Linked DNA regions of Drosophila melanogaster. The protein of the gene in region 2 interacts with the protein of the main gene of each other region in a pairwise test. Each region holds a gene or a part of one and is shown on either strand. Other genes may lie near its edges. The genes, in order: CG14194, CG14232, Brd and CG5021.

What was found.
Region 1: the proteins of CG14232 (region 2) and CG14194 interact in a two-hybrid assay, tested with the Drosophila melanogaster proteins (one large-scale study listed by BioGRID).
Region 3: the proteins of CG14232 (region 2) and Brd interact in a two-hybrid assay, tested with the Drosophila melanogaster proteins (one large-scale study listed by BioGRID).
Region 4: the proteins of CG14232 (region 2) and CG5021 interact in a two-hybrid assay, tested with the Drosophila melanogaster proteins (one large-scale study listed by BioGRID).

The regions. Positions count from the first base shown.
Region 1 is NC_004354.4:19,190,763-19,200,067, reverse strand, and holds CG14194 (uncharacterized protein), read right to left. Parts: upstream 6,514-9,305; 5' UTR 6,237-6,513; coding exon 6,199-6,236; intron 6,121-6,198; coding exon 6,050-6,120; intron 5,645-6,049; coding exon 5,070-5,644; intron 5,010-5,069; coding exon 4,617-5,009; 3' UTR 4,031-4,616; downstream 1-4,030. Other genes in the region: CG7990 (uncharacterized protein), read left to right, coding at 604-795, 1,287-1,551, 1,619-1,837, 1,925-2,085; CG7914 (uncharacterized protein), read left to right, coding at 6,620-7,567; HP1D3csd (heterochromatin protein 1D3 chromoshadow domain), read right to left, coding at 9,253-9,305.
Region 2 is NC_004354.4:19,700,686-19,709,547, forward strand, and holds CG14232 (uncharacterized protein), read right to left. Parts: upstream 3,575-8,862; 5' UTR 3,454-3,574; exon of another isoform or gene 3,378-3,453; 5' UTR 3,334-3,377; coding exon 3,204-3,333; intron 3,146-3,203; coding exon 2,718-3,145; intron 2,513-2,717; coding exon 2,048-2,512; intron 1,989-2,047; coding exon 1,569-1,988; 3' UTR 1,303-1,568; downstream 1-1,302. Other genes in the region: Tcs4 (Threonyl-carbamoyl synthesis 4), read right to left, coding at 1-803, 859-1,043; CG14230 (uncharacterized protein), read left to right, coding at 3,726-3,903, 3,965-4,254, 4,321-5,428, 5,491-5,657; meso18E, read right to left, coding at 6,188-6,779, 6,851-6,919, 7,467-8,464.
Region 3 is NT_037436.4:14,968,527-14,975,600, reverse strand, and holds Brd (bearded), read right to left. Parts: upstream 2,935-7,074; 5' UTR 2,863-2,934; coding exon 2,617-2,862; 3' UTR 2,403-2,616; downstream 1-2,402. Other genes in the region: ocho, read right to left, coding at 1-297; Tom (twin of m4), read right to left, coding at 5,698-6,174.
Region 4 is NT_037436.4:8,963,218-8,970,992, reverse strand, and holds CG5021 (uncharacterized protein), read right to left. Parts: upstream 4,165-7,775; 5' UTR 4,025-4,164; coding exon 4,001-4,024; intron 3,866-4,000; coding exon 3,783-3,865; intron 3,712-3,782; coding exon 3,477-3,711; intron 3,428-3,476; coding exon 3,098-3,427; 3' UTR 2,822-3,097; downstream 1-2,821. Other genes in the region: CG5026 (uncharacterized protein), read right to left, coding at 1-44, 98-510, 570-1,045, 1,108-1,495, 1,566-1,816, 1,920-2,078; CG5653 (uncharacterized protein), read left to right, coding at 4,631-6,061; ValRS-m (Valyl-tRNA synthetase, mitochondrial), read left to right, coding at 6,367-6,460, 6,529-7,775.

The DNA.
Region 1 (9,305 bases), 510 kb from region 2:
TTTATAACTCCGGCTCATCCAGTTCGGGATGCCAGGCGAACCGCATTCACTATTCAGCCGGATCGCATAGTTTCCGCCTTAATTCGCTGCGCCCCATCGTTCGTCTTTTGTTTATTGATTTATTCACACGCCTTCTGTTTGGTTTTCATTTCTATTTTTACCTTTATTTATTTTTTTTTTAGCGCTTTATCGTTGTTGTGCATTAACCAAAACGAAACACTCGACCACCAACTATGGCCAGGTAAGGGCTGCCATCCCATTCCATTCTCCACTCCTCCATTTAAGAGGCGAAACCACTGCGGTTCTGGGCTGGAACGATGCCACATAAGCAAACATTGTCCTGGGAAATATTTAATTTCAATGATAACTCGAAAAACCCTAATACTGATTACTACCTATACGTTAATAACTCAATGAGTGGATTTTAACTATCAATTTAATATTAATTAATTCATTTAATTGATAACGAAAAGCTATATGTTGCAAATACTCTCCATCACATGTTATTATGTGGCATTTCGCACATCCCAAGTATAGTGCGCAGTGGTTTTGCTTGAACTCCGCTCGATCCTAATGGCCTCCATTCCTTGCAACTCCTTGCAGATCAACACAACGATTAGCTCCAAGCAGGCGGATGCGAGGGAGCCGCAGGAGCAGCAGGTTGCCATCCACTACTTGGCTAGCTTCCATGAACTGTGCGTGGTGACCGCCCTGCTGCCGCTGGTGACGCTCTTCACGTGCTTCGTGACCGCCTACGTCTTCCAGTACGACGATGTCCACGAGACACATTGCCGCGTGAGTAAATGGGCACCGGGCGATCCAAGGGTATTCAGTGGCCAGGATGATGCTGATGAATGATGAATGTTTTGGGCAGGGCTCCGGCGCGTCGCCCGTGGCCAATAAATCACTGTCATCCCTGCGGGAATCCCGCCGAGATTGGAGACACGCAAATCCGCTTTTCCAAACGATTCGCTCACAATTGCTCCACGCATGGCGGTTTTTATTTTCACCAGCGGTCATTTATTTAATTTTAATTACAATAAATTTCACCAGTGAAATATATTCCTATTTGGGTATATATATAACTCAAATAGATTTATACATATCTGATTTTTTTATGTTATTAATATATATTTTGATTATTAGTGGCCATAATTCATTTTCCTTGCAAGTATAGAGAGCATTCACTTCAAGGGTAACCCGTCCGTCCATATTCAAGAGCATCTCCCACCATATCTTCAGTCTCCAGATTAATGTTATTAATTATGTATGGCATTCGTTACCAGGTCTACAACATTATACCCTCGATAAGTGCAATTACCGGCGTCAGTCCGCAGCGCTACTTCTGGCGCTTCAGCATCGCGCTCCACATCGGACCGCGAATCCCCATCGCCTTTGTCTACAAGAACTACTACCGCTCGCAGCTGCGTCGGATCAGTCCCGCCCAGGTGCCTCAGACGAGCCTGCTCATCACGCTGATCCTGGTGCTCAATTGCATCGAGATCGCGTCCCTGGGCGGCGTCACCTATATATCGAATCGCGAGAACTACCGTAGGTCCTGCCCAGCCCCCCAATCGTACATCTGATCCCTCTGATCCGTCTGCTCTCTCTCTTCCAGCCGTTCACGAGCGCATATTCATCACGTTCATGGTCTGCTCGCTGTGTTACATGCTGGCCACCATCAAGCTGAACGGCATCCTCAATGCCGGACAGGCACTGAGCGAAAAGCAGCTCCTCTCCATCAAGTGGAAGAAGATCCTGTTCGCCGTCTCCATCCTGAGCACCGTCGGCCTGCTGGTGTTCTTTGCCAAACATCGCTTCTACTGTCACGACTTGGGTGCGTTTCAAATCTCTTAGTTTCACATTTTCCACCCCGAAACAGATAATGAATCTCCCACATCTCTATTCCCACATCTCTTGACAGCATTCAGTTGGTTCGCGTTCTTCGAGTACTTGATCGCCATTGCCAACATGCTTTTCCACTTCACCATCATCTGGGACTTCCCATCGCAGTTCATGATGATCGTGCAGGGACCCCGCGAGAATCTTGCCCAGTATTTGAGCAACCGGCCGAAACTGGACTAGATTCGACCAGGACTAGATGCCCCCAGCACGCCACTCCTCCAGTGAACCGTGTGCGTGTAATTCCCGTGCGAAACGTACAATTAACGAACTTCTTCAACTTTAAAACTAAGCGCTTCCATACCGATCAACCATAGCAAATTTAGCCTTCTTCTAATTCTTCGATTCTCTTTACACTTACACTTATGTATCAATCTAAACCGAAAGCGAAACCAAACCAAAATCCAGAGATAAATGTTCCATAGTTCCATGATTAATATAGCTATTGAATTTAACAACAAGTATGTAAAGAATTTTGCCAGATTAGAGGGCATACCGTTCTATGTACACATTCTAAATACGTGAAATAAGTTACCTAGGGATTAAGTGCACCCAAAACCAAAACCAAACCAAATGGATCGCAGCTCGCCAGATCTCATGTCAATTTCGAATGGAATGCAAGGAGCCAAGCCAGGTGCGAGCAGTTTCATTTGTTAGGCAGTAAAGTAAAGTAAAATAAATAGAAGTCGCATTACTTACCACTTAGTACATATCGTTTATACAAGATGATAACGAGCAGCGGGAAATAGCCTCCTTGGGACAGGCCCTATTGGCCCCCAACCACAAAAGAAAAACAAACAAACATAAAAGGAACAAGGACACGATTCTAATAGACGGTAATCAGACAATAGACATTAAGTGTGCGACTTTGCTGCGGGCAACGAACCAGGACCTCCACAGATTCCATCCGAGCAGTGATGGCAAATGATATTTCCCGGATAGTTGATAGCTAGCTAACTCATGCCCATAGTTTCAGAATCCCTCACTGATCGTGGATCGGATTGAATAATCCGAATGGACGTGGAGGTGCGGCTTCTGGTGCTCACGGGGTCAGAAGGTCAGTGGTATAAGCAAATGTAGCCAAGTAAACAATTGTTCTTAGCCAACTTTAATAGTGAAATAAAAATCGAAAGACGGAGCAATCCGGTGAAAACTAGAGGCCCATCATAGGTAACCGAATTGCAAACCAGATTAGGATCAATATATTTTGCAGCAAAGGAGTTGCGTAGGTGTTTTTTTTTTGTTTTTTTTTCTTCTACACAAGAGTACTTAGTGTAAATCGAGAAGAGTTCAAATTGATATCGCTACTTGGCCAACTTTGTGCCATATGTACACAGCAGGTTCAGGCGGAAGGTTTTATTCGATAAGTAGTACGTGCTATTGCTAACCTTAATTATGATTGCGATTGTGCATTATATTTGCAGGAGATCGACGTCTTAGGTAATAACCCCGTATGTTCCCGAAAACGAGCAACGTATTTATGTAGCTAAGCCAATGAAACAATTGTTAATTCTCACACAAAAAACCAAATACAAACGGACACTCTATAAAAAAAAAATGTTATACAGATTAACAAATGCAAGCAAGCTCACGCCCACTCATGCGATATGTTATGCAATAGTTAAGTTGCCAGTTGCACCTCGCGATCGATCAGATATATATTGTATTTGAATTATTGTTAATGCTTACACGGCCTGCGTTTAGCCCACTTTAACTATATCTATACTAATGTATAACTCTGTCCCGCTCCATTTCGATTCCCCATTTCCGATTATGTGCCTCACTCTCTCTTTCCCACACCCCCAAGAATATGTACTTCCAGTCGCATCCGATCCGGTTGCAGACTATATTCATATATTCATATATATATATATATATGCGCTTTATATATACCGCTCACCGGCTAATCTTCAATTATTTTGTCCGGCAAATGGATGGTCACTTTTTAAAATGCAACTTTTTACCTTTGCATAACTTTTTAGGCGACACAACGTAAGAGAATTAATTAAAAATGAAATGCAAAACTTAACTATGAAATACATATGTAAACTTTGTAGCTTCCTAATTGAATAAAGATAAATACAACTCACACGAATTTCGAACCATTTCATCATCGTCTTTTCATTTTGATGGAAGCACTTAAGTATATTTCTCGTTTTCACGTACTCTGTTAATTATTTACACTTTATAGTAGGTCATTACACATAAGTGGGCTTCTCAAGGTGTGAGAGATGTTTTACATATAATACTAGCACACGAGTCAAAATTCCGAATGCGGCGCTGTTCAATTTGTGGTCAAGTTGGAGTCCGATTCGGGTCTGGACAAAAGCGTGTGGTGGTCAGGTCCTGTATGCATGTATGTGCTATATGTGCTATCATATGCAGGCGGATGCGTGGAAGGGAGCATGGTGGGTGCGATGTGCTTGGTTGGTTGGTTGGTTGGTTGGACATGGTTCGTGGGCGGTGTTAGCGTTTGTCTTACAATTAAAATTCAGTACAAGTCTAAAAGCTACGACGGAGACGTGAGTGTGTAAGTGGGTATGGGTATGCTTAACAATGCCTAACATAAACACCTGAACAAAGGTGTGCGGCGTCTCCTTGTGCGCGTGCAAAGAGGCTGTCCTTAAGTCTACGCGGTTCTTGCGATTTATTGTAAATGTTGCTGTTTTACTGTTGCTCCTGTACTGCTCCTGTGCTGTACTGGCCGTCTATATCTAGTCCGGCAGATCGATGCTGACGAACGGAACCACCGGCTTGAGAATGTCATTCTTGGCCCCCTTCTTGCTCTTCTTGTCGTGCTTGTGGAACTCGTGCAGCTGCTCGCTGGCCGCCATGCTCGTCGAGGAGGACGCTGCGTCCAGCGGCATGGACTGTGCAGCATTGCTGTGGGTTTCCGGGTGATAGCTGATGTTGCCGTACTCCTGCAGGAACGGCATCGCGGACAACAGGAACTGGCTGAAAGACTTGCGGATGCCGAACCACCACATGTTGCCGCCCTTTGCCGAGGAGCTAAGAACTATTAGCGCCAGAATAGAGACGAGCAGCGGTGAGAAGACCACGATGTACGGGAACTTAAGCTCGCCGTCCAGCTTGTCGCAGATGACCACCTGGCGGAATAGATGGGTTAGCGATGCACAATCTTTTGGAGGGACTAGATGAGGTCTCACCTGAAAGCAGAGCAGTGGGAGCACCGTGCAGATGTTGCCCACCGCTGCGTTTAATGCCGCCTTCTTCTGCTGCAGCGAGACCTCCGGCGTACGCATCATGATGCCACAGAAGATGATGTTATACAATACGCTGACCAGGCTCAGGCATATGACGATCCACATGGGCACAAACACTACGTCCCAGTTCCAGTAGACAAAGCGATCCAGCTTTAGCGGCAGTGAAACAAACTGAAGCGCGTTGACCGCCAGGAAGAGCTCCAGCTCGAAGGAGCGATCGTGCTTGACGGCCCAGACACAGGCGCCCACACTAACCACCGAGCCGAAGATCAGCGGAATGAAGACCAGCACCCACAAGTGACGGTCCGAGGTCAGCTTATCGCAGGCCAGCAGCTCAAACATCAGCAGGATCAGGTGCAGGGCCAGTGAGATGAGCATCGCTTTGAACTGCGTGTAGGCATCGCCCTCGAGACGATAATGCGGATACCGACACCACACAATGGCTCCTACGATTGCGCCCAGGATGGCGGTGCATTTCCATATCCATAGCGGTGTGAAAATCGCCCAGTAGGGCCAATCTGGGATAAGGCATTCGATTAGACTAGGCTACTAGGCCAATTATAAGGTTAATGCCCTACAATAAATCTTGTTCAGTAATTAAAAATCTAAATATTTAGCTTAGATAAGTTATTTAAAATAGCGAGAGAACTAATATCCTCGTTAAGTGACCAAATTTGGATGATCCTCTATGGTCAGACGATTTCTTCGATATTGCTATATCCAATCTCATGATCTGCTTGCTAACCCTTGTATACAATAAATCTGGACTATTCTCTAGAAGAAGCGATGGTGCACCGTACACATATTTGTGTATGGGTCGTATATGCTTGTATTGTTATATGATTGTATTTTCTTGCATCCCCGTGCTATTTTAATTCTGGGTGACGTTGTGTATTCCAGAACTGCCACAGAAAAGTACCCACCAATGTAGTTGTCGAGGCGCAAGGCGAAGAGCGTGACAAAGATGAACAGGCTGCAGTGGACGATGAACTTGCTGAAAGGGAACATGGTCGATTATGTTTTAGATTGGGAACCCATGTGATCCGGTCGTCCGCAGTCGGAGGCTTCTCACCAGGGATTGAAGTCGCGGAACAGAGATTCCAGATTCATGTTGCTGAGGACACCATAGAGCTATGTCACTGGACACTTGGTACCTGGACACTAGTTGCTCGTGGGCACCCGCCGCACCGCGTCCGCTCCACGAAGCGATCTTCGCCCGAACAAGGCTGTGTGTTATGATGGAGTGGGGGGGCGGGGGCAGTTAGTACTCTACGCCTGGCGCCGATCTTTCACCCCTTTCCCTGTAGATATTCTGTTCTTTGTTTTATTTACACACTTTTTTGACTGGCATTTCTGTCCCGAGATTCGATATCGATAACTCTTGCCTGCTCTGGCGATTGGCTTGACTAAGGACTAGCCAGATGTCTGGCTACAATTCGCCAGATTTCCGGCTACGCTAGCCTGCTATCGATAGCCTCGATAGGCACAGGAAAATGTTATCTTATTTGGAAGATTTGAAGGAAAACGAGGACCAGCTGCGGGATTCAGACTGCTGCGGCAATGGCTGCACCAACTGCATCCTCGACAACAAGCCACGGCCAAGCAAACGCGTCCTGCTGGCTGGCAAACGCAACGTGATCCTGAGCTACACGAAGTTCCGCCTGTTGCGGCGGGAAGCGCTGGGACCCAATGGACAGTTGCTGCTCCTGCACTTTGCTCATGCAGCAGAGGAGGGGGACGGCGATGGAGCGGTGGACACGGTGCTTGACATCCCGCCCGGCCACCATGTGATGCTGCGCGTCGGCTCCCTGCTGCGTCCGTATTCGCCCTATTGGAGCGACTTTGTGGCCAAAGAGTTCCGTATCCTGGTGAAGCTGCAGCCGGAGGGGCCAATGTCTCGGCACCTGCAAGCCGTACAGCCCGACGATCTGCTGGAATTCCGTGGTCCCATCGGGCAATACGTACACGAACCGCAGCCGGCCAAGTGCATCTATATTATCGCCCAGGGAGTTGCTATTGCACCCACTCTGCCGCTGGTTCGGCAGGTGCTGGACAACGAGGAGGATATGAGTCGCCTGTGGCATTTGGTGTGCGCTCACGACCTGCTGCATGTCTACTTCCGCGAGGAGATGCTCGAGTTCGCCCAGTTCTGGAACTACAGGAGCTGCCTCTACCTGCCGCATCAGCAGTGTGACTCCTCCGCTTGCCAGGAGGCGGGCCACTGTGCCCAGCAGTGCCCTCAGCTCCGGGACAATCTACGCTACAAGGAGACGGCAAAGGTGTCCCGATTAGATGCCACCGAACTGGCCACCCACCTCAATCCCGCGATTCCCGGACAGCGTGTCCTCATCGTGGCTGGAGATTCAAGTTTTCAAAAGAACATCGCCCAAATAGCAACACAATCATTGGACGTAGATCCGGCAAACATTTATATGTTGTAAATGCCGGGAAAAACTGTAGTTGCTTATAAATATTTGAATATTGTTAATGAATTTGTGATCGTACTGGTTATACCGAGGGTTTTATATTTTTTATACCCTAGATTCGTTGAAAAGTATGTAACAGACAGAAGATATACATATATTCTAGATCTGGATCAATAGCCGAGTTGTTCTGGCCATGTCCGTCTGTCCGTATGAACGTCGAGATCTTAGGTACTATAAATGCTAGAAGGCTATCACGCCCACTCTAACGCCCACAAACCGCACAAAACTGCCACGACCACACTTTTAATAAATGTGTTGATATTTTTTCACATTTTGATTAGTCTTCATTAATTTCTATCGACTTGCAAACAACGTTTTGCTACGTCCACTCGAACGCCCAAAACTGCCACGCCCACATTTTTGAAATATTTTTAAATTATTTTATAAGTCGTGTAAGTTTCTATCGATTTAAAAAAAACTTTGGCACGCCCACTCTAACGCCCTAAAACCGCCCAAACCTGCCGCGCCCACATTTTTGAAATTTTTTTTGGATATTTTTTAATAATTTTATTAGTCGTGTAAATTTCTATCGATTTACAATTTTTTTTTTGCCACACCCAGTCTAACGCCCTAAAGCGGCCATAACTGCCACGCCCACACTTTTGAACAATTTTTATTCCCCAATATCTATCGATATACCAGAAAAATTCAGAAATTTCGCGTTCGCATTCACACTAGCTGAGTAAAGGGTATCTGATAGTCGGGGAACTTGACTATAGCATTCTCTCTAGTTGGCATTTGAAACTTTTACATGTTTTCTATACTTCCAATTAAGCATTTGAGTGTACCGAAAATGGAATGTGTACTTCCATAAAGGAGGAGGAGTTCACTTCTTCATCATCAGTAATACAGGTAACTCCAACTACTTCTACTGTTTTGCCCACACTTGCTACTTTTAATTGGTTATAGGGCATCTATACTTATCGCTGCTAAATGAACATATGGTTTTGGCCATCCAGGTGGCTCTTCAATCCATTTCGCTGTCGGCAAATCATTTACTTTGTTAAAATCTGAGCATTGCAGTTGCAATTCTCATACCAAATGTATCGATCGGGATTTAATTGTCTTTAAAAAAGCCGACTGGTTTTCGCTGTAATTAATACAATTGAGCGTCTGGTTATTCACTGGATGAATCGAAAGGAAACATTATGAATCCAATTGCCATTAAACATTCTCTATGGTCATCTTTTTATTTGACCTCCTGTGTCCACAACATGGTTATGATTCCATTTGACTATTAGTGATCCAATCTAATTCAAGTCATACCAAGTGGATGATATTTTAGGAATCAACCCAATTGGTGTTCAGATTGGAATAATCTGAACACCAATTTGAACATACCCTGTACCTTGATTTTGAGAAACAAATGTGTTTGTGCCTTAACAATTCGTTATTTCGAAACATTCTTTACAAAATAATTTGAATTACTTACAAACAATAAAAAGGATAATTTTATTTTGAAGCAAACTTATTGTTACAAGACAAAAACGAAAAAAAAAATAAAGTAATTTAACTTAAATACTGTGAGTTGATTCAAGATCTTTTAACATTTTCTTCATGGATGGATAATGATAATGGATAAAGTCAATTTGGAGATCTGCTCCAGTTATATTATAAATCCTCGGGCTTCGGAGGTTTTTTCAGTCCTGTAGCTTCAGGCTCTTAATGTAGTCAATGAGTAGCTTGGGGTGCA
Region 2 (8,862 bases):
TGTTGGCGTATATGGCATCGTTGTTGGCCACACCGCCGGACATGACCAGTGTGGGCGGGGTGTCACCGAAGAGCTGCCTGTGCGGCAGGAGGCAGTACTCAATTGCCCGCTGCGTGCGGTGCATCAGGTGCCGGCTGACAGAGCGCAGCAGGCCGGCGCAGAAGTCGCCGTAGTTGCTGATGACTCCGTCCGGAGGTGTCCGCTCTGCCCGCTCGCGCGCTCGGATGGCCCGGAAGGAGTTGTTCTTGATGCCGGCGAAGCTGAAGTTGCAGTTCCGCTGCTGGGCAAGTGGCAGCGGAAACTCGTAGGCCAGCGGATCGCTGGCCAGCTGGGCGGCATGCTCAATGGCCCGTCCTCCGTTCCACAAGCGGTACTCCGGCAGAATGTGCAGGCGTAGTCGCCGACCGATCTTGTCAAAGGCCTCGCCGGGCGCATCATCCAGTGTTTGGCCAAGAAGCGTAAGGCGACCGGGGCCGTTAGCCACCACCAACTGACAGTGGCCGCCGCTGGCCAGCAAGCAGAGGAAGGGGTAGCCGATCTGCTCCGGATGTTCCATGCGGGCCTGCAGCGCGTGCGCCTCCATGTGGTGAACGGGCAGCAGGGGCTTCTGCAGGCGACGGGCCAGGTGCCGTGCAAAGCGCACGCCCACCAGCAAACTCAGCGGCAGTCCGGGACGCGTGGTCACCGCGATGGCCGTCAGTTGGTCCGGCTTCAATTGCGCCGCCTCCATGCAGCGCTGGTAGGCGGACTCGATGCGGGCGCGGTGAAGGTCCTGGGCCCTGGGCGGAATAATGCCTCCATAGCTGCAATCGATTCAGTTCATCATTGGGCACCGCATGCGGAGATGTGAGCACTCACCGGGTGTGGAACTCCTGTTGCGACTCCAGCACATTGGCAATCACTCGGCCCGTGGTGTCCACGATGGCGATGCCCGTGTCGTCGCAGGAGGTCTCGATGCCCAGGACATAGCTGAGCCGGCGCCTGATCCCACAGCCAAATACATTTGCTATTCCATTGCCGGCAAAATTACGAAGTGCATGCATAATGGCCAGTGTGACCAGGCACCGATAGAAACCACAACCAGCAAATCGTGGGACCGTTAGTGTTAGGGCCCCTTACACGAGCCAAATTCTTAACTATACTTTAATGCAATTTTTATTTAATATAAAATAATAATAATAGTTGTTTCAATGCCCAAAATTGGTAATAGCAATTGTGTCGTATGAAGAAGTTTCCTAAGTGAATTTTACGAATAATTTATTCTTCATTAAGAAGCAAAGAGATTTCGAAAAGTGATTATTTACAGTTGTCTTTATATTGTTTATTAGTTTCAAATTGAATTTTGGACTTGTCTTCGTCGGTTACAACTAAATAATAAATAATATTGGTTTAGTCTGAAATCGGCATGGTCTTTTCCCGCCGCTTGTTTCCCGGAATTGCAGCAACGCACACGTAAAACCAAAACCTCACGCACACGCACATACAGATTATTCCGGACTTGCACATTAGCCGTTCGTACGGAGATAGGATTCATCTAAGTTAGTGGTAAGTAAATACATTTTGGCCTCTTAACGCTCGTAGTAGACGCGGTAGTACAGCGTCTTATTGCGCCAGATGCTGTAGCTGTTGTCGAACTTCAGCAAATAGACGCCCTCGCCCGGATAGGAGTGGGAGCCCACGTAGACCTCGTTGTAGCACTCCCGTCGATAGATCGGTACGATAATGGAAATGGGTGCCTTGGGGGCAGCAGTCGGGTTGTTAACTGCGCCGCGCTCCTGCGACAGCGAGCCGGACTCCAGGTCCTCGGTGGTGGATAGGTAGTCCTCGTCCACGCAATCCTCGTCCTCGTCGGAGTCGCTCACATGCACGGTCACCTCGTTGGTCACGGGCTTGGCCCACTCGAAGTAGATGCCGAAGCCGATGTCGTAGCTGTCCGTGGCGAACTCCCAGAAGATGCACTTGCCGTTCATGTTGGTGGGCACACGGACCTGCAAAATTGTGCCGGTCAATATGGGCCTTGTTTCGTCATTAGTTGATTGCCACCTACCGTCACCGTGTCGCCGTGTCCAATGGTGATGACGCCGTCCCCATCGCCGGCGGACACCTCAGTCTTAAACTGCTCGATGTCGGGACGAGTCCAGATCTTGGCCGGGCAGATCATAACGTAGTCGTCGTACTCTTCCTCGCCGTGCTGTTCCTGCCCAACGCCCTCCAACGTCTGCTCTACATGCCCGTCTTGCTGCTCGGCCAGCTGCTGGTGCTGCTGTGTCTCGACCTCACCGAGCTTCAGTCCCTCCATGGCGTTGGGCAAGTCGGTTGAGCTGTTGTTGTTATTGCCAGGGACGTGTTCTGCTTCCTGGTGTCCCTTGTCCTCCGTGTTCTGATTCTGATTCTGGTTCTGGTTCTGCAGATGAAGCTGTTGCATGTACTGGTGATAGTGCTCCCGCTGCAGCTGGTGGATAAGCACGGCCTGCTGTTCGGGGTTTCCGGGGAACTGCTTCTCAGCGTACAGCTGTGGAACGAGTGTAAGCGTTAGAAGGGCCAAGTTAATGGTACAGGAGCTGGCATGCAATTGCCTGAGAACTGGGTCATGACCCCTTTTCAATGGCAGACAGCGCAGCCAAGGCCGAGCACCCAGTAATTATCATGCATTATTTAGCACAACAACAGGTGCAGAGGGCCGGGCCGGTGTGTTGTTGAAAAAATCGATGGGCTACCTTAAACTGCTGGTAAGTCTGCTTGTTGAGTGCGTCCTGCAGCTGGCGGCGCTGCAGCTCCTCCTTGTAACCCTCCTCGAGCAGCTCCTGCTGGGCGTTCTCCTGCCGCTCGCGTGCCTCCTTCTTCTCCTCCATGAGGCGCAGCTCCTTGCGCAGCGTCTCGTCGCGGTCCTGCCGCACGGCCTCAATGTACGGCCGAAAGGCGCTGCACATTGTGTCCAGCAGGTCGACGAACCCCTCCATCGCCTGCTCGCGCGTTATCTCACCGAGCAGCTGCCAGTGCTGCTGCCGGTCGCGTCCGATCACGTCCAGGACGCCCAGCGCCGGGGCGCGACTCGTGTTGAAGGGGCCCAGCGCCGCCTGCTGCTTGAAGGCGATCAGCTTGAGGTTGTCCTCGTACGACAAGTGGATGGCCTTGCCGGAGTTCCCTGCAATATGTGAGATTAGCCGTTATTGGTGCGCTAGTGCCGGGATCTCTGCTCTTACGCTTGTAGAACGTGAATGCCAGGCGGTAGAGCTCAATCAAAGGGAAGCCCCACTTCTCGGCCGATGATGGTGCCATGTCCGTCGACTGGGCCGTTTCACTGCTGCTTGTGCCGCTTGTCCCGCTCGCCATGCTGCCGTTGTTTGTGGGCTAGTCCACGATTGCTGGCCTGCAAACTTTTCGCACAAAACAAAACAAAATAATAGAATTTATTGTGACGTCTGCTGCCAGTGTGACCAGCCAGCTGCGCACCTAAAGTAATTGTATTGCTCGCCTTGCAACACTGACCGATGGGGATTATTTTTGTCTAACTTAATGTATTTGCCTATTTACAAAGTTGCTAAATAAATTTGAAAGCTGGTTTAGTGTTGCTTGGACTTGTTAAAAACCTGTATAAAGCAATTGGGAATTGGAATTGTGGCTATATTTAAGTGTAAGTTTTTATCTGCCCGCGGTCACACTGGCCCACAGCAATTCTTGCCGGGATTTGGATTCTACACGTGCATTGCAAGCGTAAACATAATATGGGCAGCACTCGGTTCTTCCTGGCGGATCTGCCGACCAGGACCTCGGAGTCGGACCTGCAGATCCTGTTCCAGGACTACGGTCACGTAGAGCACGTGGATCTGAAGCGCAAGGAGCAGGATGGGGCCACTAAGGTGATTGCCTTCGTCACCGTGCAGACGGATGATGCCCAGTACTGTAAGTTATCCGCGGAAGATCACAGCCAGACGGAAGGAGTAACCATAGCTTGGTTTTGTAGGCGTCAACGAGCTCAAATGGCAGAAGTTGCACGGCGAAAAGCTAAGAGTTTCTCTTGCCAAAGAATCGTTTTTGGATCGACTGAAGCGCGAACGCGAAGAGAACCAGCGCCGGGAACAGGGCGAGCCAGACGAGTCCGAGGTGCGTGCGCCGAGCTCTCAGCTCCTGGTGCAAAGTGGCCAAAACAAGCGCAGGGTATTCGGAGAGGATGAGGAGATTGGTGATGATGAGGTCGCTCCAGAGCTGCTGATTACCAAGAAGCGCGCCGCCAATTCCATGCACAATGGCCGGGTATGCACGCACTCATTGTTCCCAAGCTCATTGTCAGCTAAATTCCTTTCCTTTCCTTTCCCACAGATTGTCATCCAGCAGGAGCACGACGTGAAGCCACTCCATGTCATCGAACAGCACCGCAAGGCAGCCAAACAGAAGCCGGACGCCAATGTCAGCCAGGCGGAACAGAAGCGCAAGGAGTCGCTCAACAAGATGCGTCAGGGACACCAACAAAAGAAGTCAGCCATCCAGCAGGCGCTATCTGTGATATCAGTCGAAGGCAGTCAGGCAAAGAGAATAAAATTCAGCGACGCCGAGGAGGAGGAGGCGTCCAAGCCCGTCCAGAAAGCCAAGATACAAAAGCGGGATCTGTTCGAGAACGACGACGATGAGGAAGAGGAGCAGATCGTCCTGCCGCAGCATAAGGGCAAGAAGGGCGAGCGTCTGGTGGAGATGCAGAGCAAACAGAGTATAGATCCCCGCTTCCGCATCACATCGAACTTTGTGAACGAGGAGGAAGAGGCGGAGCTGGAGGATCAGCCTGAGCCGGAGGAGAGTGAGCGCAAATGGCACATGAACATTCTGGAGCAGGTTGTGGGACACGCGATCACCAGTGCGAACGATAAGGACGGTAAGTCGCCAAAGAACAAAAAGATGCTGCGCTTCGATCCGGCCAAGGAGGGCCATCAGAAGCTAATGCGCCAAAAGCAGCCCAAGGAGGAGGAGGAGAAGAAGGAGGAGACTTCCAGTACGAAAGCCAAGACCGCCGACGCGGGCAACAGTCAAGCTTCAGCCGTCTCGAAGACGGCCTTTTACATTGTCACCGACACGTTGAGGGATTCGCTGAACACGCGTGGAGAGGGTTTCAGCCTGCTGGACATGTTCGGCAGTGCACCGGAGAAGGAGGTGGCCAAGCGCCAGGACCAGTTGGAGAAGCTGGGCCATGAGAAGATCCTGGTGGGCAAGACGTCTGCCAATAAGCTCGGACTGGCCACTCTCAATCCGTTCTCCTACGACTCGTCCGACAGCGAAGACGAAACCGAAGTAAAGCCGAAGCAAGAGCAGGAGCAGGAGCAGGAGCTTGAGGTCAGCAAGGAGAACAAGGCCCAGCCAGCGAAGAAGTCGGGTCAAAAGAGGAACAAAAACAAATTGGAGTCCTTCTTCATACCCAGAAACGATCCTCGTCTCAAGGGTAAGAACGTGAATCTGTGCGTATTTTTTCATTCTCAACAAGCGATCGTCTTTTCTTTGCAGAGGGCGCCAAGTTTTTCAAGTCCACGAAGGCGGTGGTTGACCATGCCGAATATGACCAAGTGAAGAACCGCCTGAAATTGCTGATCACCAAAAAGATCGCCAAGGCGAAGAAGAGCCTGCCCAGCAAGGATATCAAGCTGCAGCGGAATAAAAAGGGAAAAAACTGATCTAGGTTAAATTATACCCTTAGTCTTAAGCATAATCCTGTGTAAAATAAACCAATATTGTTCTTTTTTTTTTTTGTAAATGGTACATGTATTCATCTAGATTACAAAAAAAAAAAATGAAATGTTTGTGCTTTAGTTACTGCACAAATGCATTTGAGCCCCGTTGCAGCTCCAACTAGATTATCGTAGCGGTGTGAATCCGGCTCTGTTGAGATTCATTCGGCATCCGCTGGTGGGATTCCGCCTAACTAAAAGCTAATTAAGTGAATTAAGATTATCGCTTCAACAAAAATTGCGGCGCTTAATATTCAACATTGCAATTAAGTTTCATTCGTCCGCTAAGCACTTGTGTAGGCTCTCTAAGTAAAAATGGCAATCTCAACTGAAATTCGAGACATGGCTCTTCTTTGGCACTGTATCCTCTGCCGCCATCCGGTGAGAGGAGTGGCGGTAGGGAAGGGTTATATATATATATATGTATGTAGGTAGAAGTCTTAAGTAGATCTAGCGAGTAGTGGATGCATTATATTCTACGTCTGCCTGCCATCCGTCCGTTCATCGCCGCCAGCCTTTGGTGTCAGCTTGGCCAGCTTGTCCTTCACCTGAACATCGTCACCGCTATCGCCGTCGTCTGGCACCTCAATGGCGGCATCCTGATTCGCGACGGGAATGGTGCCGCTCCTGCCTGTCGCAATGCCGTTGCGTTCCGGACTGGTGGGCTGCTCCTGCGTAGCTGGCGGCGCTGCAAACTGAGCCTCTGGTGGTGGCGGAGACAACGGTCTGGCTGTCGCTGGCGCGTTCTCTTTGGTTGGATTAACTGGAAACGTAAGTGCCCGCTTTACGGCCAGCGTTTCAATGGCCACAACCGTGCGCTCCAGCAGGTTCATCAGCCGGTCCTCGCGCGCATCCATCCGCTTGAGGAGCTCCTCGTCCCGCTTCTCGCGCCGCTTCAGATACTCGATCAGCTCGTAATTGGTGCTGTCGCCGTCGGTCGAGGTGGACATCTTGCGCTTCTTCTTCAGCGTTGTCGATGAGGAGCAGTCGGACAGGATGTCCGTGTCGACGATCACATCGGGGTGCAGTATATTCGCATCCATGCCCGGCGAATAGTAGTTCTGCGCTCTGTGCAAGCATGGATTTGATCAATGGAATCGGTTTCGAAGAAGGTGGCTTCCGTCGCCGCCGGCACTCACCCATTGTAGTTCGTCTGCATCAGCTGGATGTCGTCCGGATTGAACTCGCCCTCCGAAAGTGGCTCCGACCTGTGGGCGGCAGAGAAGCGAGAGTCTTAGGCGGGATCTCGAGAACGGGGCAACCCGATAATCGATCTGGACTTTCCCCATTAACAATTAAATGGACACCATTACTTTTGAACTGATAATTGTTGAGTAAAAAGGATTTATTTCTTAACTTTGTTTGTTTGATGAAGTGAAGTCAGTCTATCAGTGAAGTGAAGTATCTTTTAGGTTTGTAGTTTGCAGTATATGTAAGTAATCCCTAGAGGATCGGAATCGGCATCGAAATTTAGATTTTACACTTAAAGTAACATCTTTAAATTGAATGGAAGAAACATAAAGTAATCTATATTCTCAATTTCACTACGATTTTCAATCTTGCAACGAACTTTTTTGTCTTTTGATTGCGAAACTGTTGGTGGGCGTAAGACTGGGCGTGGCAACGTTCTGAGATTTAGTTACGGAAATATCGACGGACAGACAAGAGCCTATAAACAATTATATTTTGGAGATTGAAAACCCTTCCTCTGTCTATTACATAGTTTACCAGAAATCTATTACAACTTTTACTCACTTCATTGATATGTGGTTCTCGTTGTGATTGTTGTTCTGGTGGTGCATGTTGAGTGCTCCATTGCAGTCCTTTTCGAAGTCGGGTGCTTCGCCAGAGTCGTCCATTGGCGCGTGGCCCAAGCCGAGGCCGTGGCCATGACCCAGGACGTGAAGGTGGTTTTTAAATGCTGGCCGCTGGGGCTCATCCTCGTCGTCGTCTTCGGGCGTCATTTGAACGCCGCCAACGCTGGCCATCTGGAGCTCATGTCGCTTATGGGCGGCCACGGCGGCAGCGGCAGCAGCTGCCTGAACCATCTGCATCTGGAGGGGATTCTCGTCGAAGCCGCCGGCGGACATGCCGGATACACCGGATGCGGAGCCACCGACCGGGCCGGCCACCTCGCTGAGCTGCGCCTCCACAAAGTGATTGGGCAGGAAGCGGTCCAGCTTGCTCCCGCTCTGCGAGGAGTCCGTGGAGTGGGCGTGCGAGTGGCTCTGGCTCTGGCTCTGGCTGAGGCTCTGCAGTAGGCTGTGCTGGTGCGGGGTGAGGTTGTCCTTGTTGAGCAGCACTCCCAGCTCGGCCGCCTGCCGTCGGCGCTGGTAGTAGGATAGCTCGTTGTGGTTTTTGGTTATGAGCGCCAGACGCTTGCCATTCGATCCCCAGCACTCGCCGCGCTGCTCCTCGATCTCCTTGAAGAGGAACATGTACGGCCAGTTGCGGCGCACATGGCGCTCGGGATTCTTTTTCAGCTGCGTGTAGATCTTCTTGAGGTTCTCGTACCGATTGCAGCACTGCTTGGCCGTTCGCTTCCGCGCACTGAAGCGGTTGAGCACCTCGGCGACCATCTCCCACACGCTGGCATGGTTCTTTCGGTTCGACTGGAACGCGCTCTGGATGCGCTCCGACTTGACGATGTTCAGCAGGGCCACCGACTCCGGCACGTTGAAGTACGATTCCGGCGTCCGCGGCGCCCGCTGGTGGTGATAGCTGCTCGTCACCGGCGGGGGATTCTTCGTATCCTGCAAGGATATCCAACAGGATAATTTAAGGAAAATAAGAAACAATTGCTACTAACAATAAGATACAAAAAAAAATATATAGATATGATGATAATAGTGATGTGTTAAATTCATTATTATTATTTAGTTTTAATAGTTAATAAATCGTACAGGCGTTTACAACGTTGAAAAGCTCATAAAAACCAAGTTGTTTCGTTAAGATTTTTATATAGTATGTATGTATGTACATACATAAGGCATCTTAAATATGATTCATATGGTAGGTAAATTATAATCCAATCCAATGTACAAAATAAATGATTAAATAATTAGAAATAACTATGGACCGATGTATCGTATATATCATAAATATATATATATTAATTTTGATATCAATAATCATAAATATTTTTTAATAA
Region 3 (7,074 bases), on a different chromosome or scaffold from region 2:
CCCGGATCCGTTCTCATTGTAAACGATGACGGCATCTTCCTTGGCGCACTGGCGGATTTCCTCGATGAGGCGATGCTCCAGATGCTCGTTGGCCATGTTGTCCATATCGTTGCTGAGCCACTCGAACTCGGCCTCCTTCTCCTCGGAGGCGATGTAGGAGCTCCTCTTGGGCTGCTCCTTCTTCATGTTGAAGAATTGACCGAGCAGCGGCTTCAGCAGATTCTTCAGGCGACGCGAAGGCGAGACTTTCGATTTGTACATGGTGTTGAGGGTCTTCTGCTTGCTGATGGCCGACATTAGATGAATTTCGTTCAGATATTTTCTGGTGGTGAGTGCGTAGAATGCGTGCTGGGATGTTCTCGCTTCGACGTTCGGATGCTGTGTGATGCTGTCACTAAGATTAGAGGCGCTATTTATACTTTCTTGGGAGACAGGAGCGATGCTACAGCATCTCAGCCAATCACGTCGCTCGGAAGGCAGGCAGGTGCAAGGATCCGAAATTTCACACGTTAGTCAGTGGCAGCAGGTAGGTCCTGCAGGACCTGAGATTCGAGATCTTGTGCGAAGCGTGGGAATCTCGGGCCCATTCCTCCTTTCAAGACAATTATCCCCGGGTTCCAAACGAATCCTTGGCGTGGGAACAGCACATTGCCGGCCTTCTCTCGGAGACCCAGTTATTGTTTTGGATTTCGACTGGGTTTGTTTTGCCAGTTCATCAGAAATATGTCGATCCTGTAACCGAAAACCAGCTACAATCTAAGCCAAATTTACACAAATCGTGCACTTTCATTCTTATGTTTTTCGGTTCGGTTGATTAGGGATGGCATCGCAGAAAGTCCTTTGAGGCACGATCTTGAGAATTCTCACGTTCAGTTGGGGAGCTCCTCGTATTTTGGTTACTTGGGCAGCGGGCTTCCCAAATATTTTCGTGTCACGACAGAGGGTTTCATTTTTGAACATCTCTAGTCCTCACTTTTTTGGTTCAGACCCCTCAATTAATTGTAGAATGGGGGTTCATTTTTTGTGAATGTATCGTATTATAACTCATTTATTGTGGGATGTGGTGATTGCTCGCCTTACATTTATATTTACAGCCTGTGAGAATTTGTAACCCGTGTTTAAATGGTTGAAAAGATCCTAAAGAAATATAAAACTGCAGATGAGGTCTGTTTAGATGTTTGGGCCCTATTGATATCAAATTGTGTTTGTAGCAATCACTAATATAAATTTACTTGAGGTTTCATTTTTTCTATTACTTAGGGCCACAAAAGAGCTGAAATCCTCAGAGACAAATATTTTGTTTTGAAGAAGTATGATGTCTATGGTTTGTTAAGTAAGTGGTCTTAGAATCTTTAAATAAATAATAATAATGAATATTAATTAATTAGTCATATATATTTGCATATATGATACATATCATAAAATATTGTTGTTTTTAATAAAGCGACGACAACACATTTTTTGCGACTATCTTATAAACGAATTTATTGTAATGTTTAGTAATGGTTTAAATATTGTTATTTGATTTACCCCAACTCAAACAAAATCCTACACATAACAGAGTTTGAATCACAAAAATAAAAAATAAGAGTTTAATAAAATTAAATTCAACGCCCAAATCTATAAATTATTTTAATATTTATGTAATTATCTTGATTTCAAACACAAATATTTATTTAGATTTATTAATATCAATTAAACTTTTGTTTCTTTAATAAAATTATCATCATCATATCATCATATCATTATCTTTGTATTATATCATTGCCCATTTAAAACTCCAACGGGTCCTGTAACCTGTAACATTATCCCGAACTGTACTTGGTTGTATGCTTTCAATAAGGAATCTGCATCGACTTTATGTAAAACTATTTACATAACGCACACACGATCTTATGTACGAGAATGCCCCCTTTGAAATGCCATAAAGATCGAACCGAACCGTGCGGCCTTTTCGCATTTATTATTGAGATAGGATTGGCTTTGTTTCTGCTCGTAGCGTAGGGCCCCTGCCTTTTTTGTTTATCATCCGAGGGACTGGGACCGGGACCCTCTACCTGTTCCGATGCAATTCGAGATTTATTTTGTCCAGGGCCCAACCCTAAGAAGGAGCGCTGAAAACGAAAATCAGAAATCGCCTGGAGGTAACAGGTTTCCCCGGCTCACTCGGCTTGATTTTTCGAGTTTTTCGAATCCACAACAGGTTTCCAACAAAAGGGAACAGGTAAAGGTTTTGTTTTTCGAGTTAAGGTTCTTAGGGTCTCGCTGTTCCGTGAATGTGGAAGGGTCAGGGGTACGGGATAAGAACGGTTTTTGGCTTACAGATTCTTGGAAAAACCTTCGAGGAAATTACAATGACAAAGGGAAAGTTCGAATAAGAAATCAGAAATGCAAACAAGTTTCGGTATTAATATTATGTATTTATTCATACTCTCTTAAACATAGATGGAAGACAATGATTAAAGCTGGATATTTGTGCATTTCATTTTAAAATCTCCACTTGCACAGTGTGGAGAGTTAAAGCTGTTGCGGATGATGTTTAGAGACCGAATCCGTTGGAGTCTTTAAAGCTGATTGGAAAGTGGTATTTTTTTTCGGATTTCCCATTTTCCTCGATTACAGTTGGACGAGCTCGGCTTCCAATTGCTCGTTCTGGGAGTTCTGCAGCTCCTCCTCGGAAGTGGGCAGTGGGAGCTCCTTCGGCATGGAGTGGTTCTTCAGTTGCTGGTGGCCCGATGCCTTGAAGATTTTGCAGGCCACCTTGAAGATCTTCTTCATGGCCTTGGCGGGTGTGTAGGTCTTCTTCTGGCAGACAGGAGTGGTGGTGTAGATGGTGGTGTTCATCAGAGTTTCGTAGGCCATTTTTGCTAGTTAGTAGTTTGCTTGCTTGGTCGACTGATCTTGGCTGTTCAACGTTGCGATTGAATGTGATGTCCTATTCGGAATTGCGCACCGCTTAAATACCCGATCCTTGCGAAAGCAACCCCTAAGTCAACCAATCAGGACGAGTCCTAGCGCGCAGGTGTTTCTCGGTCTCTCAAAATATGAGAGTCACGCATTCCTCAACTCTCTGCAGGTAGTTCGGGATCGTTTCGGGTCCCTTTTTTGAGCGACCCTTGCACGTGTGCGAAGTAAGGCCACAATTTTCGTAGGCCCTAAATAAATCTCTCCCTCGATTTCGTTTTCGTCGTGGGAGAGTATAATTTCAGTCGAATGCCAATAGGAGGACGATGCCGGCAAGCATAACAAATAGCCAAAAAATGAAAGAAATGAAAAAATAAACGATCATCCCTTTTCCATCGGGTTCGGGTTAGTAATTTGAGTGGTTTGTTTGCGGAGGACTCGGCTCGAATTTATGCCTTGATTAGTTTTTGGCTATTAATTGTTAATAGGCTGACAGTGGAGGATAAAAGTGACAGACCCTCGTTAAACACATGTTGTCGGCAAACGAGAAATATTTACACGTCAACATTTCATTTTTGATCAGTACAGGTAGACTGTGGTCCTTTCGAGTACAGTGAACATTCGCTCGAAGGTGTGCAGGGATTTTCAAGATTCCACACTCACTGCAGCGTAGTTGCTCTGGCAGGCTTCACTGTCCTCACACTTGTTCTTCGGGGTTGTTTTGGTCCTTGGCAAAATTTGAATTTGGAGCGTAATGAAACTCGAATTTCTTCGTTTATTGCATGAAAGGTTTCTTTATCTTTCCCTTAAATCTGCTATAGGGATTTAAGATATTTTTGGATTTCTTGTTGCATGGAACCACCACTTGGAAATATGGTTTTCTGTGACAGGTTTCACTGTCCCCACACTTGTGTGTTGGTTCGGGCTCTCCAAGAAAATTAAAATTTCGTCTCTTGTTGAAATTCGAATTTCGTCTCCTATTGAAATACTTGGCACTTGTAATTTGGGATTCATTCGTATTCCAATCCAGTTGCATTAGATGGAGTGGGATAGGATCCTGGCCCATCCACTTGGGGGGTGACCAACCAGGAACCTAGCGTGCTTGTGGCTCGCTTAACTATTCCACAGGCATAATTCCCCATAAGCACTTGAAGATTTTATTTTGGTGGCGTTTCAAGTTTAGTTGTTAGTGTCAGGTTTCCTGAAATTCAAGCGCCAGAATGAAGCCTGCATAATTAGCTTGTGGCTATCGTGAAACAAAATATTGTGGATCGAGTGTTGTAATATGACTTATGTTGCATTTTTCTTATAAAAAAAAATTATTTACACTGAAAATACATGTATTCTTTAATACATAATTCTTTATCTTTATTTTATTTCAGTTCGGTGGCTTGTTAGCCGTATATACATACATATTATATATGATATTATTGTGATAAATATTTATCATTGACTCATTTAAAGAATTTTGAGAATTCACGCGTTTGTAGCACATTCAAAATTTTTAAAAATTATTTTATTCATTTTAGACTGGGTTATTTGATATGGTTTTCTTATAATTAGTTCTTGAAGAATTCTTTGTAGTATTTTAATATTTGTAGATACAAACAGTAATTTTTTTTAACCATAATATTTTTTTTTTATTTTACTTTGCTTTTATTTATTGAATCTTCTTGTATAAGAACTAACAATAAGTTTAAAAATCTTAACTATAACAAGTATTTTTTGAACAGTTGTATTATTTTTCCAACTGTTCTATGTTTAAACGGCCCTAATAATTTATTCGCTGGGTTGGTAGGTCCTTTCGCCGGAGACGGGAACGGCTGCTGAGCTGGATTAGACCTCGCGCTAGGTGGTTGGGGTGCGTGTGAAGCGTGTGAACCATAATATGATATGAAAAGATATGATATTTACTATACCAATATTTTCGAAATATAAATAGAATAAATAAATAAATACATATATACTACAAAGGTATATATTAGGTATATTTGAAACAAAAATCATATTTTAACGATAACAGATGCAGAAATTGTATGAAAGACAAAAAATAATATTTGGTGAATATTATATTAGCCTGTGGTCAGGCTAAATATAAATGTAAATAAAATTCTTTATTGTTCTTACGGAAGTATTTCCAACTGCCTACCAGCAGCATTTTTGGATTCAAATGGTCTCCAAGCAGGAATGAATGCAGTCACTAATTGGAATGTGTTCACCAGCATAGCGAGTCCAATTTAAAATCCATTCTTCAAATCAGAATTGTACAGAGTAGCCGAATTTAACTATACTTACAATGGTCATTCAATTTGGGATTTTTCTTTTCCAACCTTATTCATATTATTTCATATCAGTTTTCAGAATAAAGAGACATTAGAATTTCCTTTTTTCGATTTATTTATTTCTTATATGATATTAGTGTTTATAGCTAAAGTTTTACATGGAAGACAATGATTCTTAGCCTAATTCTTATACGAAGACCCTAACAAACAAACATGGAAGACAATGATTCGGCTAAGACTAACTTAAGGCTAATAAGACACGATAAATCACAATGAGTTAACGATAGTAACGCTTGATTGTGATAATTGAATATCAATTAGAGTTGTGTTTCCCTTGGGACGCGAGCCCAAAGAATCCAATCTATGCCTAATATCACCCTGAGATTACGAACATGCGAAGCTGAACCCGCATCCATCCGACGACCAATGGACGGAGACACTTGCACTTAAAGCTGCCAATTGGAGTTTTTCCCGGTGCATCGAGAAGTGGAACTGTGCATCCTGGCGATGTTTAGGCCTGAACCCAACGGTCGAACTGCTGGCGCAACTGCTGTTCGTGGTGCTGGCGAGCTCCCTCGGCTGAGGTCCAGAAGAAGGTGCCGCTGGTGGTGCGGGCGAAGTGGACCGGGATGAAGGTCTGCTCCGGATGGACGGGCACGATGCTCTGTTGCTGACCCTGCTGCACGATCATGGCCACGTTGGTGGGGCACTGGCGGAGATCGGTGTACAGTCGCTGCTCCAGCTCCTCGTTGGCCATGTTATCGCAACTGGCCGCCGGATCTTTGCGCATGTCCTCCAGCGAGGCGTTGACTGCATTTTGGTTCTGGATCTCGGCCAGAGTCTTCCGGAGTAGCTGCTTCTTCTTCACCAGTCGCAGAAGGGGTTTGACCAGTTTCCTCAGACTCCGCATGGCCATCGTGTGCTGATCTGATTTCGGCTCCATCACCTTGCTGCTCTCAAACTTGTATTCCCGTGTGATGAACGACATTGTGTTGAGGATTGTTGAGATTTATAATAAAACTTGGGATCTTAGTTGGTTGCACTCGGTTGAGAGTTGGTAGTATTCTGGTTTTCCTGCTGCACGACCGACTCCTTATATACGATTTGCTCTCTTTGGTTTCTCTCGGCGGGGGAGAATTCTCGCACAGAGCGGCGGTTCTCTCGATCGATGGACCCAGCCAATGGGAAGGCAGACTGCCTGCAGGTGGTTGCACAAACAGTGAGAGCGGGAGACAAAAGAGAGCCAAGAGAAAGCGGTCTCGGAATCAGGAGCATGTCCTTACCCTTGAGAAAGCAGGGTATGATGAATTTTTGAGTCTGTGCATAAAAAATAGATTTTACGAAAAATAAGGTTAATATGTTTTTATTGTGTGTATATCTTTTAAGTGTATTTTTTCTAAAAAAAATTATTTATAATAGTAATATTGAAAGGGGCCATATAAGGTTGAATTTAATTGAATTGAATTCATTGAATTTATAATAACTATAGTAATAAGATCATAAACTTGATGAAAAATATCAATATTTAAGGACTCTATTAAAATTAAACTTAAAAGACTAGCAAGAATAAAATGTATCCTAAAATATTTGGTATACAACTAAATTAAAAACTATTTAAAATTAAATAATTAAGATCGGCACAGCCTTACAAAAAAAGTTTTCCTTAACAGCACACTGCTAAATTAAGGTATGTAGGAAGTACATCGGTAAAATTACAATAAATACAAAGAGATCGTTGTATATTTAACAATTATTTAGTATTTTACTAATGGTATTTATTTTTTGGAACATAGCATACCATACTAAGTCATTTACTTTAAAATTTCATATGTTTCCCACGTGATTCAAATGCTGGGTATTACCCACTCGAGTTGCTCATTCACTGCAG
Region 4 (7,775 bases), on a different chromosome or scaffold from region 2:
TGTGACTGAGCTGCGTTGATCTATCACCCACCGCAAATAGAGATCTAAAATGCATGTTTGATGAGTAATGTTTCATATATTAAGTTCTTAAACATACCACTCCACAGCTCTAAGCTTATGGGCGCCACCGATGGCCATATCACATTGGCATTAGGCTCGTACAGCGGATTCAAGAATGTCTGAAGGACATCAGGCCGGTTCAAATAAGACCACAGGCTCGTCGTCCTGGTGTGCACATTCAGTTCGTTTCTCTCCCGCTCTGAATCGCACAGGAAAGTTCCATACTGCGAAAAGTGACTGTGCTCAAATAGAAGGATCAGCAGTTGAGTGCTGAATTCAAAGCTGCAGGGGAACTGCGTGTAAAGCTGATAAATGCAATCCAGAAATAGGACGAAGGTGGCACCAGAGGTCTTATTGCGTGTCTGATTTGGTGTATAGCATGAGTAGCGATGACGCGAGGCGAACGGATGTCCCGCCTGGATCCACTCGCGCTCTATCAAAGCCTGCAGGCTGCAAAGGGAACACGGCATAAATATCTTTTTCAAGGTAAGGAGAATATGATTACTTACCCCCTTACAGTCCGGCAGTCCGGATTGAGAATGATCTGCACCAGTGAGGTGACTATAAGCGTGGAGTCCAACCCCTTAGCACCGTGCACTAACACTGGACTTCCCTCTTGGTCCAGGCATTGGGCCACCACACAGGAGGCGTTCAGTGAGTTCAGCACAAGACTAAGCCAGCCGCTGTTCTCCAGTCGCGATAGCCATTTATCAGTACTGCATCCCAAATCGTTGCAAGCTTCGATAAGCCGAGCAAAGCTGTCCAAAATAGAGGCGGGCGAACTGACGTTTCCAATTGAACGATTTACCTTCTTCCACTGCGAGTAGTGCAGGTCAGTTTCCGTATTCGATTTGCCCTTACCCCAAGTGTCCACGATGAACCCCTTCCGACTGCGACCCAGCACCAGATTAAGGATAGCCTCGTCAGCTCTACAGCGCTTGATGCCCTGAATGGACAGCGGCTGGGAGCTGCGCATTAGTGTGGCCTGCAAATATGAATCATTGAATTAATTTAATAAAATTTGATGATGTAGATGCAATGACTTACGCCATTTTCATGCCTGTAGCTGAGCACGGGGAAGCGGCCGCCATCGCGGAACGCAGCGGAGAGCACTATCTGCTCGTCCGTAATTGCTTTAGGTACAATTAGCGTGGCGCCATATGTGGCACAGACGCTGAAGTCTCTGTTGACGTTGGTGATGCGCCACTCGCAGGAGGCCTGGGGACTTTGAAGCGCACCACCTCCCACACCACCAACACCACACGCAAGGGCTTCTATCGCATAGCCATTTTGCAGAGGATGGGGAATGCCGGCGCCCACAGTCAACGTCGATGTCGAAGTTGATGGCATGCAAATTGTTATGTTGGCCACATTCGGCGAGGACGCACCGCCCATGCCAACCCCGCTTATGAGTTTGGCGAACTCCAGCTCGGGCCTGTCGTTTGGATGGGGAGGTTAATTGAATTGTAGCCAATTTGTTAGTTATGGAGAAGCCGTGTACCCACCTAAACATCGTGTAGCCGTCCTCTAGGATCGAGTACATGGGCCGGTAGAAGAATGGATAGAGCAGTTCGGTGTTCTGGATGGCACTGAGTGCCTCCAGCGATGCGGCCACGTTGAAGAACTCCTTGCCGCACTTTATCTCCAACGAAATGATGCGCAGGTCCTTGCACTTCAGGGTGATAATCCCACCGACCACGATATTCTGCGACAAACTAGGCTTCTTCTCCACACAGTCGATGTTCTTGTGGAGCAACTGAAAAGAGGGGGATGAGCATGATGAATTTCTAATTCAATTATGAGCGCTCCACTGATGCCGAAGCACATCGGATTAGGTGGGCAGGCCTCAACCCACTTACCCATAGCTCCTGGCTGGTTTCCTGGCGGGCGCTGAGCAGCAAATGGTGCCCTGTGATGCACAGTGTGCCAACTGTTGCACCCGACGCCCCCGCATTCGATGGGTCGTGCAGCAGGACACCGTCCAGCTTGGGGGTCTTTATAAGGTCGGCGAATTCCATGGTGTCGCCCTCGGCGGGGTGTCCGATTTGATTTGGCCCCCACTAATTAACTTTTTGCATTTTGCCCCGGCTATCTCCTGTTGCCACTTGATTGCTTCTGTCGACGCCGCCTTCCACCTCCGCCCTTCTTCGCCACGGTTATCCCGCCTTTCGAGTCCCCTTTTTTGAACCCACAGCAGTGCGTACGTCACCGGTTCTGGCGGGGATTTGGCGGACTTACGGCACTGCTGCTCTGCAGCTAACAATGAAACTCGTTCCGGGCTGCAAAAACTTTTGTTCCACGCCCCCGCTTACGGCACAGATTGCATTTCTTTCTTTCTTTTCGATTCCGTTTCCGACCGACTGTTCTGTTTTGTGCTTTGTGCCAGTGTGCCCGTCGCTCACTGAGCCGGAAAGCTTTGTTGTGGCGTCCACTACCACACTGCGTTTTGCCTATGAACCGTTATTGCCACTAACAAAGAACTAAAAAATTATCAGGTTTTTTAATATGTAAAAATATTTTTAAATTGTTTTGCAATTTCATTTAGTTTAGTTTTGCAGGAATGATTATATTTACGCTTCATTTTTAAATATATGTTTACGACAGTTTCATATATGAAACTAAAATGACAAAAAAGAAAATAAACTAAATAATTTATAGTAATCTAACAGTAATGAAAATTATTTGCTTCACGTCTTTCGTACTCAGATTAAGATGCAGAGAATAAAAATAAAACACATTTCGCTATATCTGAATCCCTTTTAATAACTATTCTTAAATTTGTAGTTAAACCATTCGAAATAAAACCATGTGGCATACTGGTTGCATGTCACACGCACATGCGGTCCTTTAATCCGAGTAAAAGTAAGAAATGATTATGGTAGATTGCAGTATGGCTAAATTAAGTTTTACATATGGTACACAGACAGCGATGCCAATCGAAGGTCGTGGTCCGCGCCAGAAGAAGCGTCGAATACTCTTTGGAATGCGCTGCAGCAGACGGTGGCAAGGTGACTTAGTAGATGGCGTCTCCACCAGCTCAAACGACTCCCGTCGGGCGTACATTTGTTGGCGGTGGGGCGCCACTGGGCCTTGTCATGATGTCCACGGCATTCTTGAAGAACTGCGTTTTCACAAAGTCTGTGGCGGCGGAATTCAGATCCTTATTGGCACCATAGTTACACTTGACGTAGCCATACAGATTGGCGGCATTCAGCGCAATGGCGATCATTACCAGCAGTAGCCATTTGAACTTCAGGCCGAATAGGGCGAACAGGAAGAAGAGGCCCCAGAAGACGGGACAGAGGATGAGTCCCAGCCAGAAGATGCGCTGCTCGTTCTTGTTGACCCGACTCTGGTAGGATTCAGACTGCGTTTCATTATCAAGGGCAATCTAGTTAGCTATGCTCGTGACTCACGTTCTTTGACTCAAACACCCAGTGCGATACGCCATCGTCGTCGACGTAGTTCCACCAGCGGAGACCGACCAGCAATCTGCCCGAGATGTTCTTCACCGTCCAGAAGTCGGCGGACAGGAAGAGCACCACGAAAACGAAGCTGGTGATGAAGGAGTCGCTGAACCAACCGCAGAACATATAGATCAGGATGGCGGCGCCCCTGAAGAACAGGTGGAAGAAGGTGACGTACGGGTGCCTGTGGAGTACACGCGTTGGGTTGGGTTGGGGTAAATGGAATTGATCAACAAACATTATGGTTCTGCATACGTGTATTTCTGACCCGCGCGACTGGGATCCCGCATCTCGTCCTCCTCGCCAAAGGGTATCGTGTCATCGTCGAGCAGCGGCACCTGTGTAACACGTATGTGGGATTAGTTTGGCTTGCCTCGTTGTAAAATATGAGTTTTCGTGGAAAACCTCGGATCGTATTGTCAGAATGGCACCCCAATCAAGCAGCTTGTTAGGTGTTAGTGCGGCATACATACATTTCTTACCGTAGCGGATGCCATGCTGGTGTAGGGAGTGACTTCTAATTCCTAGTTGGGTGCAATTTTCATGGATTTTCGTGGTTTTTCAGGGGATTTAATATATTTTCTTCGCCTGGGACGTTGTTGTTGTTTCTGCCTGCGTAGCCTTCTATCGTTTTCGCACTGAGTCGATAGCTCGCAGGGGTGAAGCACTTCTTCGACTTCGATTGGGTTGGCAGCACCATAAGTAATCGAGCTTAAACCTATCGTATTTGAAAATTTTGCAAACATTTTTTATTGAGCTCCCCTTCATTTTGTTTGTGGAATTGTTATTTGCAATAGCAGCGCCAAATGAGAAAAAAATGCCACTTTTAAGTTATTTATGAAACATAATTTTTTACGCATCATATTAAGTAATAAAAGCCGAAGCAATATTATCTAAGACGACTTTTATGTTCTGTGACCCGGATTCTCAATGTTACATGGTTGTGGCTGAAAACCAGCAGAGTGTGCAAAAAGTTGTACTCCAACCGCAGTGGAAGCCATTGAAATGCAGCATCCATCACTTGCCAAGTTAGCCCACAAACTTCATCAGTAGCTCGTTGATCGTCTGCTCTTTCTGTCGAACTTAACTACCAACGTTTCAAAATGGAAAAATGCCGTGCCTCCTCTAGGATAATCATAATCGGAGCAGGAGTTTCGGGCATAGCCGCCGCCACTCGACTCCTGCAAAACAATTTCCAGAATGTTCAGATCCTGGAGGCGGAGGATCGCATTGGCGGGCGGATCAACACCGTGTATTTTGGTGACAACGTCATCGATTTGGGAGCCCAGTGGTGTCATGGAAAGCAGCAAAATTGTGTATACGACATGGTCAAGGATATGGGTATCCTGCACGAGACAGGCGACTATTACAGTCCCATAAAGAGGGTGAGATCCAACAAGGAGGTGGTTCCACATGAGTTGGCCTGCAGGATTCACGACATTGCTGTGAAGAGCATGCCGAGTGGACCTCACCCGGTTGTGGGATCCTTTGGCACCCACCTGACTCAGACCTTCTGGCGCAAGATCGAGTCCGAGCTACCCCAAGTGAATAGGGATGTGGCTAGTGAGGCCTTGAATACATTTGCGAAGCATGAAAGCTCTATTATTGGTGCGGACAATCTTTTCGAGGTCTCCGTTAGGGAACACATCGAGTACCACGAATGTGATGGCGACAAGCTGCTCCACTGGGGAACGAAGGGTTACCGGCGCTTCCTGCGGCTGCTGATGAAGGTCAGCGCGGATACGCCAGAAGAGCTGGGTCTACTGGAAGGACGTATTCAACTTGATATGAAGGTCATCAAGATTGAGTTGGCGTGCCCCCGTAAGGTAATCCTGCGCTGCCAGGATGGGGATTACTTCGAGGCGGACCACGTCATCTGCACCGTTTCCCTGGGAGTCCTGCAGGAGCAGCACGAGAAACTGTTCGTCCCGCCGCTGCCCGCAGCCAAGGTGAATGCCATTCGCAGCCTCACCCTGGGCACTGTGAACAAACTGTATTTGGAGTATGAGAAGCAACCTCTTCCTGACGGCTGGGTGGGTTTCTTCTGCTTTTGGCTGGAAGAGGATCTGATAGAGCTGCGAAAGACGGAATATTTCTGGGTGGAGGGTATAACCGGTGTACACATGATCACTTGTCAGCCCCGAATGTTGATGGCCTGGGTGAATGGTCCGCATGGACGCCACATGGAGACCCTGTCCGATGAGAAAGTCCTTGAGGGCTTGTACTGGCTTTTCCGAAAGTTCCTCACTTTCGAAATTCCGCCGCCAAAGCGTTTCGTTCGCAGCTCGTGGTTTTCGAATCCGAATTTCCGTGGCAGTTGGAGTTATCGTGGAGTTATGGCCGATGAAAGGAATACGGGCCCCTGGGATCTAGAGTCTCCTGTGTTGGGCGAAGATGGTCATTTAGGCCTCCTTTTTGCCGGAGAAGCGTCTAGCAGGAATCACTTTTCCACCGTTCACGGAGCTGTGGAGGCGGGCTATCGGGAGGCAGACCGGCTCATTGATCATTACACCTCATGCAGTGTCAGTGCCTGAAAAATATATTTTTTTATCGTACTTTTCTTTATGGTTTCTTAATAAAATTGTTCTCTTTTATAAATTAAAAAAAATTACATTGGATCCTGATATTCACATACGTACCCTCTGAGATGTTTTATGTTTCTCTTTTGACAAATCAAATAAATAATGAAGTTTGAAAAAAAATTGAGGAGGAAAGCTCTACCGTTTCTCGTTTGAAATTGGCGCCCATAAGCCGTATATCGATTATCTCCTCAGCTGTTTTTATACCATCACCAATAAGATTACAATTTTTTTTGACATAACATAACACAACATTAAAAATGCAAATAATTGGGAATTGTAGCAGTAAACTGCTCAGACACAAGTACCTGTGCCAGCCAAGGGTGTACTCTCTATACTACAGTACCCTTAAAGGTGCGTTACCTCCAGTTTCATTCAAAACCCCAGTGCCGGCTAAAGAACTCACTTTTTTCCACTTTTAGATGCGGCTAATGAGCTTCCCTTGGCAGCAGGATACCAGCCACAACCAGTGGAAAATGCTTACTGGGAGCGGGAGCATCGCCAGGCAAATTTGCCCAAGGCTTCAGCCAGCAGTTGCAAGCGGGGGACCTATCGCATGCTTCTACCGCCACCAAATGTAACCGGGAATCTACATTTGGGCCATGCACTGATGGCCACCGTGCAGGATGTGATTGCCCGCCAGCGCGAACAGCTTGGCTACCAGGTGGACTGGGTACCAGGCACAGATCACGCGGGTATCGCCACCCAGGTGGTCGTAGAGCGCACGATTGCCGCTTCTCAGGCGAAAACCCGTCATGAATTGGGACGTTCTGCTTTTCTGGACGAAGTATGGCGCTGGAAGGCGGAAAAGGGTGCTGGTATCGTACAGGATCTCCGCCAACTCGGCTGTAAACTGAATTGGCAACGAGAATACTTCACAATGGATGAGCAGCAGGCGCATGCGGTCAACGTAGCTTTCGAGCGACTCTTTGAAGAAGGCCTAATTCAGCGGCGCAACTCGGTTGTCAACTGGTGCACCGCTCTACGTTCCGCGATATCTGATATCGAGGTGGACAGTGTAGAGATCACGGAGCCGGTAGAGATATCCGTTCCAGGCTACGATCACAAAGTACTCTTTGGCAGAATGTACGATTTCGCCTATCACGTAGTGGATGGTGAAGCACTGCCCGATGGTTCGGTTGAAGAGATTGTGGTGTCTACCACTAGACCAGAGACAATTTTGGGTGATGTAGCTGTCGCAGTACATCCGCTGGATCCGCGCTACGCCAAGTACCGAAACATTGATCAGGTTAAGCTCAAGCATCCTTTCCGTGACGACACCATTCCACTCGTTTTCGATATCACCGTGGACCAGGAGTTTGGCACCGGGGCAGTGAAAATCACACCAGCCCATGACAAATTTGATTTCGAGCTGGCCACTCGCCATAAGCTTGAACCTCGCCAGGTCTTTACTGAAACGGGTCTTGTGGTGGATGCCTATTCTGAGTACAAGGGTATTCCGCGCTTCGAGGCGCGAGATCTCATCGTCAATCGCCTGGAAGAGATGGATTTGCTGCGACAGGTGCGCTCTCATACCATGCAGTTGCCCATCTGCTCGCGTTCCAAGGACGTCATAGAGTACATGATATTGCCGCAATGGTTTCTTAAGTGCAAAGACTTGGCAAAGGATGCCTTATCTGAACTTCATAGTGGACGTCTGCAAATCCTG